Linked DNA regions of Rattus norvegicus. The protein of the gene in region 2 interacts with the protein of the main gene of each other region in a biochemical or structural test. Links are inferred from orthologs where the notes say so. Each region holds a gene or a part of one and is shown on either strand. Other genes may lie near its edges. The genes, in order: Fbxl3 and Cry2.

Region 1 (8,551 bases), on a different chromosome or scaffold from region 2:
GGGGATTTAGCTCAGTGGTAGAGCACTTGCCTAGCAAGCGCAAGGTCCTGGGTTCGGTCCCCAGCTCCGAAAAAAAGAAAAAGAAAAAAAAAAAGAACACTGCTTTGCAAACTGAAGCATCTGACAGTCTTGTAATTTCCTAAAGCCATGGAGCTCCTTTGAAGTGTAGCTAGGATTCAAACCTAGAGAGCTTGGTCTTAGAGCTTATGGTATAGTTTGCCACGAACATCTCCTCTATCCAAGAAGCAAATGGCATGAGGTGAGTATGAATATGTAGAAAAAGCATGGAGGTAACATTCAGAAAATCACAGGAAAAGCAGTGACAGTAATGTGTTGGGAGAAGAGACCATATCCTGGCTGAAAGGACAACACACAATCAGGTACTTGGCTGTAATTAGTCAGGCTATTTCATGCTGCTACAGGTTGAGCTCAGGCCTGGAGTTAGTTAAGGCAAGGTCTTTACCATTGGGCTGAACTCTCAGTCCAAGTTTACTTACATTAAGCAGAGGTTGGCTGTGTACAGTGATGCCACATGTGCAGGTCTGTTGACCACTCAGCTTTCACCCTCTCTAGAGTCTAGAGGTTCATGCGATTCTTGGTCTACCTCAAATTTGACAGAAAAATTGGATAATATCATCGCAGGCCCTCCTTTACAGTTACTTTAAGTAGTTGACTATAAGTTTTGAGTTATAGGTTAATGGGTTACTTAAATGATAAGTAGTTTTAAGTATAAAAGTTTAAAATCACCCCAGAAATGTTCATCTCCACTAGCAGTTTTCATTGTATTTTTGTATTCTCCTTGAATTGTTGGTTCCGGTTTTCATGCATATTTCTGTTTAACTGTCCAAATCCAAACACATGGTTCAGTGACAGAAAATGAATTTGATTAAAAGTTGAGTAGGATGGGAAAAAATGATGGCTTTCTCTAAATAGGATGAAACGAGGAGGAAGAGATAGTGACCAGGACTCACCTGAGGAAGGCACTGCTGAGAAGCCTAAGAAACCAAGGACAACACATGAGTGCTCGCAGCCTTGTGACTGGGGTAACCTTCTTCAGGACATTGTCCTCCACGTTTTTAAGTATTTGCCTCTTCTTGACCGGGCTCATGCTTCTCAAGTGTGCCGGAATTGGAATCAGGTATTTCACATGCCTGACTTGTGGCGATGTTTTGAATTTGAACTGAATCAGCCAGCTACATCTTACTTGAAAGCTACACATCCAGAGCTGATCAAACAGATTATTAAGAGGCATTCAAATCATCTGCAGTATGTCAGCTTCAAGGTAATACCCCCACTCCTTCTGTTAGAAAATAGAAGCATGTTTACTGACTTTAATATTAACCAATACAACTTCTTATGTCCTTAAAATAGTTAAATTTTCAGGGAAAGTGCTTAATATTTTAAAATTATTGCATGCCTTAGAGTTCTTTACAAATAATTTTTATATTTGCTGGAACTAAAATAGTCCTTTACAGTTAATTTCTTAAAAGAGCAAAGGAAGCCACTAAGTGAGCATAAATAATTGACTGAAGTTTGAACTTAATGGTGGATGGTTGGCAGCAAATTTGAGGAAAGAGAACTAAACAATAAACATTAGGGCGGTGGGTCTCAGCCTACTGGTCCAGACTCCTTTAGGGTGTTACATTGTTACTTTATGAAGTAACTTTTATGGTTGGGGTCACAATAACATGAGGAACTGTATCAAAGGTTCATAGCCTTAGGAAGGTTAAGAACCACTGCATTGTGGCTGGTTTGGTTTGGGATTTGATTTGGGGGTGGGTTTTTTGGTCTTGTTTTGTTTTTTTGCTTTTTTTGGTTTTTTTTGTTTTGTTTTGTTTTGTTTTGTTTTGTTTTGTTTGGGGGGGTGGTGGTGGTGTTTTGAAACAGGGTTTTTCCAAATAGTTTTGGCTGTCCTGGAACTCATTCTGTAGATCAGGCTGGTCTCACTCTCAATTGCCTGCTTCTGCTCCTGAGTGCTGGGATTAAAGGAGTGCATGGTTGTGGTATGTTTTTACCTTAAAAACAAAACAAAAATATATAGAGACTAAATAATTTGAGAATATTTTAGAAGAAAACAGGAGGATTCGTGGAAAAATGGACATGTTGCAATGGACATACAAGATTCACAAATATTGAGGTGGGTGAGGGAGGAGGCATTTTGAGATCTGAATATATTGATTGCAGTAGCTCGTGTGAGAACAAAATCACACTGTATTTTGGAGAGAAGAAAGAAATATGGGATGCTTGCTGACTCCTTAACGCTAATTGTTTCCTATATGATTTCTAAATGGTAATTATTGTTAAAAGATAAAAGTGGGCTAAAAAGCATGCTGGGGAGTCTGAGGCAAGAGTCAACAGTTTAAGGCCTTCCTGCCCTATATGCAGTCAGAACTTATCTCTTCAAAATGGTAAAGATAAAAAGCAAAAACTGTAGTAAAAGGACAAGAATTGCCTGGTTTCCCTCTATTTTCTGTTTGCTAAAGGGCCATGATAAATCTGTTCTAAGCAGTGGTCCTAACCCAGAGCTTCATGCCGTCACTAGATGCTATCTTCCTTGTGAGGTAGGAGAGCTTGGTAGTAAGTGTGACTGAAGAGATTGTGTGCATAAAAGCCCTAGCTTGTTAGGCATAGCATTGTCAGTTATAGCCAAAGAGAAAGTTCTCAGGATACCTGTTAAGACCAGCCGGGGCTGAGGGTGAGTTCAATGCTAGCCAGAGATACTTAGCAGGAAGGACTCTGTGTCAAGAGGGAAAAAAAGGTGCCTAGTTCATTAATTTTACTGGACTTCACTGATAATGATTAGTGTGGATGCATCCCACAGATACCTATTGATAGAAATTATTGTTTTGTTTACCTGAAATTCCAATTGGATGTATTATTTGTTTGATAAGGGGTAGGATTCAAGCAAACAAATGTTGAGGAATTCCTTACCCCACTCCATGGAGGGAACCTGAAGTGCTTTCCCTTCGGTTTTATTCATCTTTGAGTTGCCCTAGAGCATTGCAATGGCAAATCTATAGAAAGGAATTGTAAAGATCATTCCTGCATATGGTAGGTCAGCTGGGTTCTCTGACACAAGTCAGCTCTGTCCAACATACATGACTCATACATCCAGCTGTGTTTAACATTTCTCATTCGGGATGTCTGCGTGTGAAGAAGTATTTTCTAATTTAGAAAGCAGACACATTGCAGGGATTATTCTGGCTTCTTAGTGGTCAGTATAGACTGAAAAAACTTAGAGTCAGATTTATTAGTCCAGATCAGTGCTTTTCAGACCGTTCAGTAGTCTCACCAAGGGAAGTGTAAAGCCAAAAACCGTGCTCAGTCCCCTCAGAGTCTCTCAGCCACGTGGTTTAAGCATAAGAATGGGAATGTCTTCAGTACTTGATGACTTTCCTGTGATCCGGCAAGTTCATTTTGAAAACTGTAATTAGTACGCTAGTTTCACACACTATAGCATTTAAGAGCACCTTTGGGATTCAGTAAAACACAAATTTAGAAATAAGAATAATGGTACTATATTTTAACATTTTTAGTCTAGAGAAAAACTGATGTTTCCCCTTCAGGGGTTGGTGTTTGATAATGTTGTTTTCTTCAAGAAACGTCTCAGCAGGAAGTGTGTAAGAGCAGCTGCCTCTATTTTGGTTCCTATTATTTTGTGCTTGTTTAGTTAGACACCCTTATTTTATTCTATATTTATCTTTCTATTAAAAGCATTAGAGAATTTCAGGTTGTGTGGTTCATCTGAGAATTCTAAACAAATAGATACTAGTTTCTTCTGGTGCCCTGAAACAGTTCATCATAGACACTGTTTACATGTATTATGTGATTTGACCAAGTACAAATTATTACTGAAACACAAAATTGATTGATTTTATAGTTAGTTTGAAATAAGTCAATTTAGTCTTACAGCACCAAATTTTTATATATATGTATATACATACATATATATGTGTGTGTATACTATAATGAACACATTCTTGAAAATTAGACTGAGGCTGTGGGACAGAAATGATTAAAAATCCTTGTCCTTTAAATGATAATGGGCCAAATTAGTAACTATATTTCTTGCCTTTCTAAGATTAAGATACTCAAAGAGAAATGTGGGTATGTACGTGAATAAGCCGTGTTTTCTTTCTAAGGTGGACAGCAGCAAAGAATCCGCTGAAGCAGCTTGTGATATATTATCGCAGCTTGTGAATTGCTCTTTAAAAACGCTTGGACTTATTTCAACTGCTCGGCCAAGCTTTATGGATCTACCAAAGGTATCTGCTGGGCTGGTGTATTTCCTTTTGCAGAGGAATCCATTGTTAGTGCCTACAGTGAGGCAGACAGGACAGCAGAGCAGGATGTGCACTGGAGAGCTGGTGGTGGTTTACAGTCTTGAGAAAGTATTTAGAATGCAATTTTAAGGAGTTTTTAATTTCTTAGTGTGTATAAGCATCCTATTTCCATGTAAGTATGTGTGCCTCATGTGTGTCTGATGCCTGCAGAGGCCAGAAAAAGGTGTCATATCCCCAGGATCTGGAGTTACAGGCAGGTAGGAGTTAGCATGTGAGTGCTGGTAACCAAACCTAGGTCCTGTACCAGAGCAGCAGTACAATATGCTCTCAAGCAGTACCTCGTTGTTGGTGATGTTAGAGCAAGTGACCTGACAGAAGGCCGTTGAGTAGTGGAAGTGCTAAAAGGAGCGAGTGGAACTGAGACTAACCGTGTCAGAAAGAGAGCCATGGGCACTGCTGCTTTCTGAGCCTTCAGATCAGGTAGGTGAAGTGAAACATCAGAAGTAGCAATGCAGGGTCGAGCAGGTGGGTGAAGTGAAACATCAGAAGTAGGCAATGAAGGTCATATCAGGTGGATGAAGTGAAACATCAGAAGTAGGAGTGAAGGTCAGATCAGGTGGGTGAAGTGAAACATCAGAAGTAGGAATGCAGGGTCGAGCAGGTGTACTCTGCTCAGAATGTAAACTCTTCTGGCAAATGTACTTTAAGCAAAGTTAATGTCTATAGAGTTTGGATTATCTGCCATTTAATTATTCTTAGGAGAATTTAACTACTGTTTGTGTTGGTCTATACCTAATTAAACAACAGTGTACCATACAAGTGTTCTTTTTAAAAACTTGGGGGTTTTTTGGTTACATTTAGTTGGTGTGTGTACACATGTGACAGTTGGGACAGCTTGCAGGAGCCTCTCTCTTTCTGCCACGTGGGTTCCAGGGTTGGGACTTGGTTTGTAAAACTTAGCGGTAATTGGCCTTGACCCACACCTGTTCTCTTTGAAATAGAAAACTTATCAGAATGCCTTTGAGAAGGCCAGAAAGCTGCTCTCTGGTTTGCACCCAGTAGCAATGTGTGTTTGTGTTACTGAGAATCGCATCTGTGGCCTTGCAAGTGTCCTAACCACTGAGCAGCATCCCCAAACTAGCTAATTGCAATTTGAAAAAGGAATTTTTAAAAGTATGCCACAAAGTAAAATAATGTAGGTTAAAGAAAAAAGCTTTATTTTTACTTTAGGTATGTACGTGTTTTTGCCTGTGTGTAGGTATGTGTGCTGTGTATATGCCCGATGCCCATGGAGACCTGAAGAGCATGTTGGATCCCTAGAGCTGCAGTTGTAGGCATCTGTGAGTGGCTGTGTGGTTGCTGGAAGAGCAGCCAGTGTTCTTAACTGATGGGCCATCTCTCCAGCACCAAATATGTAGGCTCGGCTCACAGTTCATTGTACTAGAGGGACTCAGGAAGTGTGAATTATAACTAGTAGGTAATTCTTCCAATTGAATAGCAGAACCCAATACAATATTGTGAGTTCAAAACCTCTAAGTTTCAGTAATCTTGTACATTTTAAAATAGAATGTTTTCTTAGGAGCAAGGAAGAAAAATGGAAAATAGAATCTGTTTAATGTACCTGAGTCAGGTCTCTGCAACTCTTAGGTCTGGCCATGTACAGATTTGGACTCTTACTCCTAAATTTGGCTGAGGCCAAGTCTTCTGTGGACAGTCCAGAGGATTCTAGGAGACTGAGTTTACGCAGTGTAGGGCCAGCTTTTTCAAGCCTAGTGGGAAATGAAATACTCTGATATCTTTTTGTACCTGCCATTATTTTTTAAATGTGGCTGGATGGTGGTGGTGGCACACAGCTTTAATTCCAGCACTCGGGGAGCAGAGGCAGACAGATCTCTGCGAGTTCTAGACCAGCCTAGACTACAGAGAGAGTTCTAGGACAGCCAGGGCTACATGGAGAAATCCTATCTTGGGGAAAAAAACAAAAACAAAAAAATTATCTATATAGATTAAACTGTTATAAAGTATTTTGAACATAATTTGATTTATTATTTGGGATCTCAGTTTACATATTATATATGCAGTGCTAATTTAAGAACTGTTGATGTAGCTGCTTTAGATGCTTATTGTCCTTTTTAATTTTTGTTTTTTAGAAAAGATTGAAATAAGATTTTCGCTATTCTGAAAAGAATTAAAAATAGAAGAAATATATGTGGCCATAACTACATCAGGACAGAGAGGAAAGACGTTAGTATGTAGTTATGGGCTTACTAGTAAGGAACTGTGGTCATGGAAGGTGCACTTGTTTGATTTCAAGATATATGATATTAATGCTTAAGGTATTTAAGCACAATTTTATAAATCAGTTGTTTAGACACAGTAAAGGAAAAGCAAGTTAAGGATTGTGAGCAGGGAGGTAGTTTCCCTTATGCTGCATTGTCTGTTAGGATGGCTTCCTGCTCTGATCCTGCTGTGGAGGATTTACAGAGGTAGGTGTAGGATGAGGTTGGCTCTGCGGATGTGTGCTGAAGCTTGGTCTTCCTTTTCTTCCCTGAGTTCTGTACCCATTGATTGCAGCTCATCTCAGCTCTGATTCACAGTGTGCGCTCTACATATGCTGTCGTTCTTGTTTCTGTAGAATTCCTTTTGATTAGGTCTGTGTTCAGTAGATTATAAGTAAAATACATTAAAATCAAGACTTGAAAATCTTTTAGATTCAGTGTTTTGAGAGGGTTTTAAGTTTGGAATTTTTAAATGGATTCTGGTTGTTTTAAAGTCTTTGTATGTGCTTCCATGGTTCAGTTGAGTTACAGCCTTTGAGTTGACTGACTTACATCTTGATGATTGTCCAGTATTTTCTGTTGATGCTCTTTCCTATGTGGTGCAGTGTACGGGACTTTAGCTTCCAGATATGGTGAGGTGTGCGTGTGGGGGAGACTTAGACTGGGTTATAGGTTCCTCTCTGACCTCTGAGGTTGCTGTCACGTAGGGTATTCTGAGGCTTGAAGTGACCCTTCCCTCCACAGGCACAAAGGCTTTTCTCAGAGTGCTCCCCTCTTTAACTGTGCTTTGCTAACCTCATGCAGGGCTGCTGCCTTCTAACAGTTTGGAAATTCTTTAGGGCACAGACAGACATGCGTGGTAAGGAAACCTTGTAACGTCATTTCTGAAGAACTGAAACTGTTTTAATCTTTTGTCTTTCAGTCTCACTTTATCTCTGCACTGACAGTTGTGTTTGTAAACTCCAAATCCCTGTCCTCACTTAAGATAGACGACACCCCAGTAGATGACCCATCCCTTAAAGTCCTAGTGGCCAACAACAGTGACACACTCAAGCTGCTGAAAATGAGCAGCTGTCCTCATGTCTCTCCAGCAGGTATGTCGTGTTTTTTCCAGACATCTTTTAGTAATTATATTGTTTCTCAAGTTAAGAAATTTGTTTATTTAATAGTTCTGCTAATGAACTTGTAAATGAATTAGCAAAACCATTTTTCTTCAAAAAATACTCAGTGTCCTAATGACAGTAGTAATATCTGCAGTATTCTAGCTTAGACTGACTTCATCCTATTTTCAAGTCATTTTATGTGGCAGATTGAGTAGAGCATGGATAAATGACTTGAGAAGAGAGGAAGGTTTCTTAGCTACTCGCTGCAGGGGCAGAGTTATCTGACAAAAGCAGCTAAGGGTGGATGAAGCATCTCTGGGCTCAGTTTGTAAGTGCTAGTCACTATGGTTGTAAGTGCTAGTCACTGTGGTTGTAAGTGCTAGTCACTATGGTTGTAAGTGCTAGTCACGATGGTTATAAGTGCTAGTCACGATGGTTGGGAAGGTTCAGTGTAGGACACAGGACAGCAGAGCCTCTTTGAAGGGTAGGGAAAGTGGACCACAGCTATAAAACCTTGGGCCTTAGCCCAGTGCCTCCTTTCTTTTAATCAGGCTCCACCAAAAGCTCCACAACCTTCTAAACCAGCACTAACAGCTGTGACCAGAGTGTTCAAGCATGAGTTTGTGAGAGACATTTCACATTGAAACCGCGAGGTGATGCTGTAAGGTCTGCTGAGAGAGCTTGTTGAGATAAACTAGAATCCCACTAACGTGAGGTGTCGGTGCCTTGGGTCAGAACACAGTTACTTCTTACATAGAGATGCATTTAAGTATGGTTGCCTTTTTTTGAGAGAGAATTCTCTTTAAAACTTAAATTGTAGGAATAACATTGTAAGAGGTCTTTCCAGCTACTTTATGTAGACTTTTCTAAGTTTAGTGCATTGTCC
Region 2 (8,551 bases):
GAAGTGAGCGCCTCTGTTGGTCTTTGGAAATGGATTGAGAGTTCGCTGTGTTCCTGGCTGTTTAGCAGTGATGCGGAGACCTTGTTGTGGTGGCAGCCTCGGGCTTCTGGTGCCTGAGCTGGGAATACTGTGTCTTCCCACCTAGGTTAGTACAGAGTTTGTTCTGTGTTCTCAGTGTTCTTTCCTACTTCAGTTACTCTCCAGAGACAGGGAATGCTTTTATTTAATAGCTAAGTAGCTGGGGAACTAAATAAGTCAGTCATAGTCATCCCACAGACTGAGCATCGAAGTCAAGACAAGAACATGGCCATTTCTCCTTCCTAGAGTCAGGCAGGAGAGGAGAATGCACACAGTGCTCCCAGCCTGGCTTTAGGGCCTTTCTTTGGGTTTTGTTTTTTGACCATAGATGAAGGTCAACACCTAGGCCTGACCTTGTGTTACCTCTCTTCTGCAGGCCTGGGTTGCCAACTATGAGAGACCTCGGATGAATGCCAATTCCTTGCTGGCCAGCCCCACAGGCCTCAGCCCCTACCTGCGCTTTGGCTGCCTCTCCTGCCGCCTCTTCTACTACCGCCTGTGGGACTTGTACAGAAAGGTGAGGTGCAGGGAACATGCACTGTGCCAGTCATCCCAGAAAAGGCCCCTTCTCTTTGGCTTTGGGACTGGGTTGTGAGAGTTCTGGAAACACTTAGTTCAGAGAAGCCAAAGATGGTTTGTTTCCTAGAGGTGACAGCTGGGCACAACTGAGTCACCAATGTGAATGAACCCAGCTTCTCCTGTGTTCTGGAGACAAAAAGCTGGCCTTGGGGGCTTTAGAGCTGGTGTCCTCACTAACAGCTGATAAGGAAAGGCTTGGGACCTGGGGAGGGAAGTGAGTGTTGAGGCAAGAGGCAGTCATAGCAAAGGCTCAGCTGCCCTCACTGGAGCTGGGACTGGAGTTTAAAGGGAAGTCCAGAGCTGGCCTGGAAGGGCTGCATACAGGACCGGGCCACGCAGCCCACAGGCTCTGTCAGAGCATTCCACAGAGATGCTCCTTAGGTCATGTGGTGCCTTGGTATTTAGTGTTGCTTTCCCCAACCCAGCCAGTATTAGCTTCATGGAATAGGGTAGCTTGGTAGGTTTGGTGGCTAGGTCATCAGGGGAGGAGGAGATCATTGTACAGTGTCCAACCTAATCCACTCATGTCTTGGACTGTTGTTTATACATTATTTAACCAAAATCCAGACTTAGTACTTTGTAATATTTTTAATACTGTATATTCTGATCACAGCTCCCCATTCCCCAATTACTTCTAGATTCTCCCTACTTTCCACCCAGTCAAGCCCACAGTCTTTCTTTCTCTGTCTCACTAGAATACAAACAGACATCTACAAAAAAAGAGGAAGAAAAAAACCCCTGAACTGGACAGAACTAATGAACAGGAGGAAAAAGCCCACATATAAGCACATACATTCACACACATGGAAGTCCCATAAAGCACAGAACCAAGACTATAATATATATGCAAAAGACCTGCATGCTGCAAGATTTAAATGAAGGAAGGAAGGAAGGAAGGAAGGAAGGAAGGAAGGAAGGGTGGAAGGGTGGAAGGGTGGAAGGAAGGGTGAGCCCAGCCAAAGTATTATGAGACACCCCCACCACCCAAAAAAAAAAATCCTCCAAAAGCACCATTGAGTTTCCTTGTGTTCACCACCTAAGTCAGTGTGTATACCCGAAAAGACTGCATTGGAGAAAGTGAATTTCCCTGTGAGCACTTATCAATTGGAAGTAGCTTCTGGGTTAGTGATGGGTGTGTCCACTTCCTCTGATGTGGGATCTCTTCTGACTTAGACCTGTGCAGGCCCTGTGCGTGCAGCCAGTCTGCGTGAGCTCGCTGAGCTTCAGCCCTGCTGTCTAGCAGGCCTGGTTTCTACGCTGTCTTCCATCCCCTCTGACTCTTACAGTCTTTTCATCTCCTCTTACAAAGAGCTCCCTGAGCCGAGGGGAGAGATTTGATGGAGACATTCCTATTTAGGACTGAGAATCCTGAAGTGTCTCACTCTCTGACTTTGTCCAGTTGTGGGTCCCTGTATTTGTTCCCATCTACTGCAAGAGGAAACTTCTAATGATGGCAGAGCAAGACACTCTATGACTATCTGAATGTCACTGGGAGTCATTTTATTGCTACATTCCTTTAACAAAATGGTAATGTTTGGTTTTCCTATAGGTTCGTGGCCCCTGGGCAGTGTCAGGGATGGCCTCATCTCATGGAGTGGGTCTTGAATTCACGTTGTACCAGTGTGTTACAGGCAGGCCACCATTGTAGACCAGAGGGTTTGCAACTGGTAGCGTGCAGAGCACTGTGAGCTCTCATTAGTAGGGGAAGGTGCTAAGTAGACACCACTCGCCCTCTCTAGGTTCAGTGAGTTGTTTAGCTGTTCAGATTTCATGTTTTTAGTTGCTGACGATGTGTAACATCCCATCAGGTTTCTAGAAGGTAGAGCCACAGGATTCAGAGTAGTCTTGAAGAATTTGGTTCCCGTGACAGTTCCATGGCACCACTTATTCCCCCAACCCACCGCTTAAGCCATTCCTGTTGCCCAGGGCAGGGCTGCATGTTGCACACTGTGAATCTTTGAAGTATCGACCCTCTATGCACCTCAGGGATTTGGAGCCACGGCTCTTGGGAGACACTCCAGGTTGTTCTGTGCAGGAGACACAGTGCTAAGAGCCAGGCAGGCTCTCATCTCTGTGTACTGTGCCCTCCTCTTAGGTGAAGAGGAACAGCACACCCCCCCTCTCCTTATTTGGACAACTCCTATGGCGAGAATTCTTCTATACAGCGGCCACCAACAACCCCAGGTTTGACCGAATGGAGGGGAACCCCATCTGCATCCAGATCCCCTGGGACCGCAACCCCGAAGCCCTGGCCAAGTGGGCCGAGGGCAAGACAGGCTTCCCTTGGATTGACGCCATCATGACCCAACTGAGGCAGGAGGGCTGGATCCACCACCTGGCCCGGCACGCTGTGGCCTGCTTCCTCACCCGAGGGGACCTCTGGGTCAGCTGGGAGAGCGGGGTCCGGGTGAGTGCAAACTGGCCTGAACCCTGTGACCAGGCCTAGCCAAGGGCAGCTCCTTGTAGGCTGGGGCTGGGGTGGGATTCCTGGGTCCAGGAGATCCCTCTGCATCCTCTGGGCCCTCAACAGAAGGCTTTGGCGCCCTGAGGGTATTACAGATTTGGAAAGAACCAGAGGCGTCGGGTTTCCAAGGAGGCTGGTTTTCCCCCATCTAGGTATTTGATGAGTTGCTCCTGGATGCAGATTTCAGCGTGAATGCAGGCAGCTGGATGTGGCTGTCCTGCAGTGCTTTCTTCCAACAGTTCTTCCACTGCTACTGCCCTGTGGGCTTTGGCCGACGCACGGACCCCAGTGGGGACTACATCCGGTAAGGATGCACACCAGACTCTTTGACTCTGGACCACTGTGGCCTCCTCCTGGACTGGGGTACCCTAGACCCTTTAAAGAAGAGTCACAGTGTGCTGACACATTACCTGATGTGTGTTTCAGGCGATACCTGCCCAAACTGAAAGGCTTCCCCTCTCGATATATCTATGAGCCCTGGAATGCTCCCGAGTCGGTTCAGAAGGCCGCTAAGTGCATCATTGGCGTGGACTACCCACGGCCCATCGTCAACCACGCAGAGACTAGTCGGCTCAACATTGAGCGGATGAAGCAGATCTACCAACAGCTGTCACGATACCGGGGGCTCTGTAAGGACCCCTCCCCCACTGGCATGTCACTCACCAGGGAGGGCTTGACCTGAAAGCTTGTGCAGGTGTTTGCTGCCCCCAGGCCGTGGTAGACACTGCAGGCTGGGCCAGGGTGGGCTGCTGAAGCAGCTGTGGGATGTTGGAAAAGATGGAGACTGTGTCCTGGTCCTGCGCTCCTGGCTCATTTGTCTCCCATGACTTGCAGCCCTCTTAATCTTGTGTGTGTTCTGACTACCCTTTACTTAATCCCCCAGGTCTGTTGGCATCTGTCCCTTCCTGTGTAGAAGACCTCAGTCACCCTGTGGCAGAGCCTGGTTCTAGCCAGGCTGGGAGCATCAGCAACACAGGTGACCAGTCTGTGGCCTGTGCCACCACCACATTAGTCATTCAGGGCTGAGGCCAAGAGAACACTTGGCTGGGGAGGTTGATATCCCACCTAGGCACAGTCAGACAATCAAGTAAGGACATTCACCTAAGGATTTTAGAGGGAAGTAGCGCTGAGTGCTTGATGTGGGACTGGGGACAGGGCTCCTTTAGGATCAGCCTGAGGGCACCTCTTTAAGCACTGTTTAGCATCATCTTGATAAGAACCACGAAAGGAAGTAGCAAGAAGGCCCCAAAAGCAGGCTTGAACAGAGCCCACTCTAGGAGCAGAAGGATCAGAATCAGGGATGAGGGGAGCAGGGCAGCTTTGGCACAGGCTGCCCTGCCTTCCTGCACTGAAGGTAGTCAGCAGGGCAAGGCAAAACCCCACTGCCTGCCACAGAAACAGTAAACAATGGGGAGATGAGGAGGAAGGTGGCTCAGGGTGTGGGCAGGAGAAGCGGCAGGAAAGAGCAAGGGTGCTGGTCAGTTTGGGATGCTCCACAACATAAAAGTTGCCAAAACCCTGGGATTTTCCCAGGACTGCAAAGGAAAGCCTTACCCTCCGAGCAAGGACTGCTCTGTGCCACATCAGTCTCTGGCCCGGAGCCAGGGATCTGCGCAGCAGAAGTTGGCCCACTGCCAGCAGGCTGGGCCAGGCCTCCTCCTGCAGCCAAGTGAGGTCACCGCTGAAAAGGAGGTCAGGGCAGGGCTCCCTTCCCCAAGAGCAGTCACTGCACAGCACGAGACCATTGCGGTATGTAACCATGACTTGTTTCTGTGTGGGTCACTCTCCACAGGCCCCAGACCACTGTCCAGTGGCCCAGCCTCCCCCAAACGCAAGCTGGAAGCAGCTGAGGAACCTCCAGGTGAAGAACTGAGCAAGCGGGCTAGAGTGACAGTGACTCAGATGCCTGCCCAGGAGCCACCAAGCAAGGACTCCTGAGAGTGAGTCCGCGCAGAGGGGGGCAGGCTGTGGTTTAAAAAGCTGTCGCTTGCCAGATGGAGGTTCAAACAGCAAAACAGATCAAAATCTTATGGGGGTCCTATTTTAGCTCAAAATCCCACCATTCTGGCTTTCATACCTTCTAAACCAGTAGTTCTCAACCTCGTAATGCTGCAGCCCTCAAATGCAGTTCCTCACATCGTGGTGACCCGAACCATAGAGTTAATCTCATTGCTACTTCAGACATGTAAGTTTGCCCCTGTTGTGACTCATCATGTAAGCATCTGAGAGTCAAGGTATCTAATATGCAGTGCCCAAAGGGGTCACAGCCCACAGGTTGAGAACCACTCCTCTAAACCTTTATTGGAGGGGAGGGGGTGGTTCGTTTATTTGTTTGAGACAGAGCTTCACTGGGTAGTTGAGGATAATTTTGGACCTGTAGCAATCCTCCTGCCTCATACTCCTGAGTGCTGGAATTTCAGATGTGAGCCACCATGTCTAGTTTACCCTCTAAAACTTAAAAGGAGAAAAAAAATGTTTTTAAGGACGAAGGGTTTATTTTGGAAGAAATAAATTTAGAAGTTGAAACCCTTTGATTTATGGCAAGGGTGAAGTGGGAGAGGGGGTAGTTTTGTTCTTTTTGTTTCCTTGACCTTTCTGGCTCTTAACATGAGCAAAACATGAGGTCCTGATGTGAGGCTATGAAGCAGTGGTGGGAGGCTGTGTTCTGTAGGCAGGCCACAGGAGGGCGACACTGAGGTTCAGATGGCAGGAAAGGGCTCAGCCCAGCCTTGGGGGATCAGAGGGCCCAGTTGTCTCTGCCTCTGCTTGCAGGGTCTCTTCTCTTCTCACTGGAGCTCATCTTTCTGCATCCGCAGTCATTCACAGAGGAAAGAGGCAAACAGAGAGGGAGGGCGTGTCAGTGTCAGCCTCCGCCCTGTTCCTCCTTCCCGAGGCAGGAAGGTTTCTAGGCCAGCACTGGAGAAGTGTAGGTCGCCATCCTCCCAGTCAGGCTGTTCCCGACACCTGCATCAGTAGATTGGAGGTGCTTTCCACCATGGAACTGCTTGGGTCTTCTCTGGTCCTGATCACTCAGGGCCTCCCTCAGCGGGGCTTCTGCAGTGTCTTGGTTTATGTGCTTATCCAGGTGGCAGGCACTTAGTGCTTTGTCCTCTAGACATTGCCAGCAGGAGGACAAGGTTGTGCTGCCTTGTCCCTGGAAGAGCCACCACCATAGATGCCATGTTCTCTGTGGTGCTAAGCACAGAGTGTGATAGCTAATGAATTTGCTTGGTTAACTTCCTGCCAGGCTGGTGCTGAAGGACAGGAATTCCTGCAGAGCTGCTGGTCTTCCATATGCATATGTACTGGTCAAAGAAGCTGGGTTCTGATGTCAGTGAAGAATGGCAGCAGCAGCAGCAGAGTAGATGCCCTTAGCAGCAAGGAGCTCAGTCAGACAGAAGCAGCCCTGCTTTTCCCTCGGATCTCCATATCTGGGCTACTGCTGTAAGGCACCGCCCTGGGGAGACTCCTACCCTTCAGTTAGACCTTCTAGAGCATGTCCACACAGACCCACTTGGAGACAAGTCCCTTGCTCCCAAATCCAATCAAGATGACAACTAATATTAACCCTCATGTCTGTGAAATGCTTTGTAGCTCTTGTCACCTGCCCTACTGTTGGGGCACACAGACTAGGATGTCAAGGAGAAAGTCAGAAGTTTTATCTGAAAAGTCTAACTGAGAGAAGCACACAGGCAGAGGGAGACTCAGAGAGGCCTTGCATGTGCTTCCAAGTGACTTTGATCACATGACTGGTGGGTCACAGAGAGGAAGGAGGCTGTGGGCCCAGTCAGTTGTGTGGATGGGAAGATGTGTCCCCTTCTGCCTATCTCTAGTCATGTGACTTGGACTTGAGGCCAAGGGTCTGAGTGATCCTTCCCCGAGTTCAGTCTCTTAGCTCTGCTCTGCAGCACTGAGATCCTGCTGTTAATGAGCAGTCATTACACTTTAAATCAGTACTCCAGAAAAACATCTCTAGCTTCCATGCTCACCTTAAACCCATGCCAACCGAATGTTCTACATTTAGTTTCCACAATGTTCACTAAACTGAAAAGAGAAAACACTGAGCTTCCAAATAGCAATCCTGTCAGCTGCTGCTGTAACCCCCAAGGCTGCTGACACAGGATTCCATCAACATCCGGTTATGCCCTGGCTCCTCTCATTGGTCCAGTGATCTGACCACCGGGCAGCACTTGTGCTTCACCTCCCTGCCTAGCTAGCACTGCACTGCAATCTTTCAAGAGAAGCCCTCCACGCACAGAGGGCCATGGCTAAGGAGCCCCTTCCCTCACTGGTCCATGATCTGTTAGTGCAGAGGTATCCTTGCCTACACCATGACTTCCAGAATCCCCATTGTTCCCCTGACACTCGCTCAACTTGTACATGACAGGTGTATTGCTGACAACCTATCTGGTGTGGAGATGGAGCAGCCCAGCCCTCCCAAAGAGCTGCGTCCTGGGCCTGTGGTCCTGGCTGCAGAATATCCAGGGGTATCTTAGCTGAGTCTCGGCTCCTGACTTGGAGCCATAAGAAAGGTGGCTCAGTGCTTTCCATAAATGATAAATGTTGGTGGAGATGTGTTTAAACTGATCTCAGGAACATATAACGTGTACATGTGTTAGAACTGCACATGGTAAGCTAAGCATAGTGATGCCTGCTTGGAATCCCAGCACTAGGGAAACTAAGGAAGGAGGATCAGGAGTTCAAGGTCATCCTTAGTTAAATAGCAAATTCAAGGCCAACCTGGATTATATGAGATCCTGTGTATGAAGAGAAGAGAGATGGGGTAAATATTTTTCTAAAAATCACATATGTCATTATGTACAATTTTATGTGTCAGTTAAAATGAATTTAAAATAGAAAAAGGTATGTCCATCTAAGGAAAAGGTATGACTAGACACCGCAGGGCCTTTTTCAAGGGAAGATGACTGAAATGATACTTGGTTTAAAGAACAAGAACCTAGGAACTGCCCGCATGCTTCCACTTCTGCTGTGTATTCTGTCCAGCGTCTAAAATCTAGAGAGTATCACACTCCTCGTGCCGTTGGCTTTAGCTTCAGGGTGAGGCCTTAAAAGGATTGCTTGAGCTCTGAACACCTTTAGTCCTACCACCTAAGAGCTAGAAACAGGAAGGTCAGGAGTCTGAGGCTGCCTCCACTGTATAAGAAGATACCTGAAATAGGGTGAAGTGCTAGGAGGCTAGAGGCTCTCCAAATATGTCTGGGTTTTGTTTTGTTTTTGAGACAGGGTTTCTCTATGTAGCCCTGGCTGTCCTGGAATTCACTCTATAGATCAGACTGTCCTTGAGGTCAGAGACTGCCTGCCTCTGTCTCTTGAGTGCTGGGATGAGTGAGGTGTGCCCACCACTGCCCATCCGGCTGACTTTTAAGAGCGTCCCCATTTCTACAGTCTTTGACTTTATTTTGTTCAAGT

What was found.
Region 1: the proteins of Cry2 (region 2) and Fbxl3 form a complex in vitro, tested with the Homo sapiens proteins (2 studies listed by BioGRID, with this or other methods). The link is inferred for Rattus norvegicus from reciprocal best matches to the Homo sapiens genes CRY2 and FBXL3.

Annotation. Positions count from the first base shown.
Region 1 is NC_086033.1:86,329,739-86,338,289, reverse strand, and holds part of Fbxl3 (F-box/LRR-repeat protein 3), read left to right. Parts: intron 1-933; 5' UTR 934-934; coding exon 935-1,282; intron 1,283-4,142; coding exon 4,143-4,265; intron 4,266-7,484; coding exon 7,485-7,656; intron 7,657-8,551. UniProt on the Homo sapiens protein: Substrate-recognition component of the SCF(FBXL3) E3 ubiquitin ligase complex involved in circadian rhythm function. Plays a key role in the maintenance of both the speed and the robustness of the circadian clock oscillation.
Region 2 is NC_086021.1:98,833,975-98,842,525, reverse strand, and holds part of Cry2 (cryptochrome-2), read left to right. Parts: intron 1-454; coding exon 455-595; intron 596-2,752; coding exon 2,753-3,064; intron 3,065-3,273; coding exon 3,274-3,425; intron 3,426-3,547; coding exon 3,548-3,750; intron 3,751-4,004; coding exon 4,005-4,097; intron 4,098-4,913; coding exon 4,914-5,059; 3' UTR 5,060-5,061; intron 5,062-8,551. UniProt on the Homo sapiens protein: Transcriptional repressor which forms a core component of the circadian clock.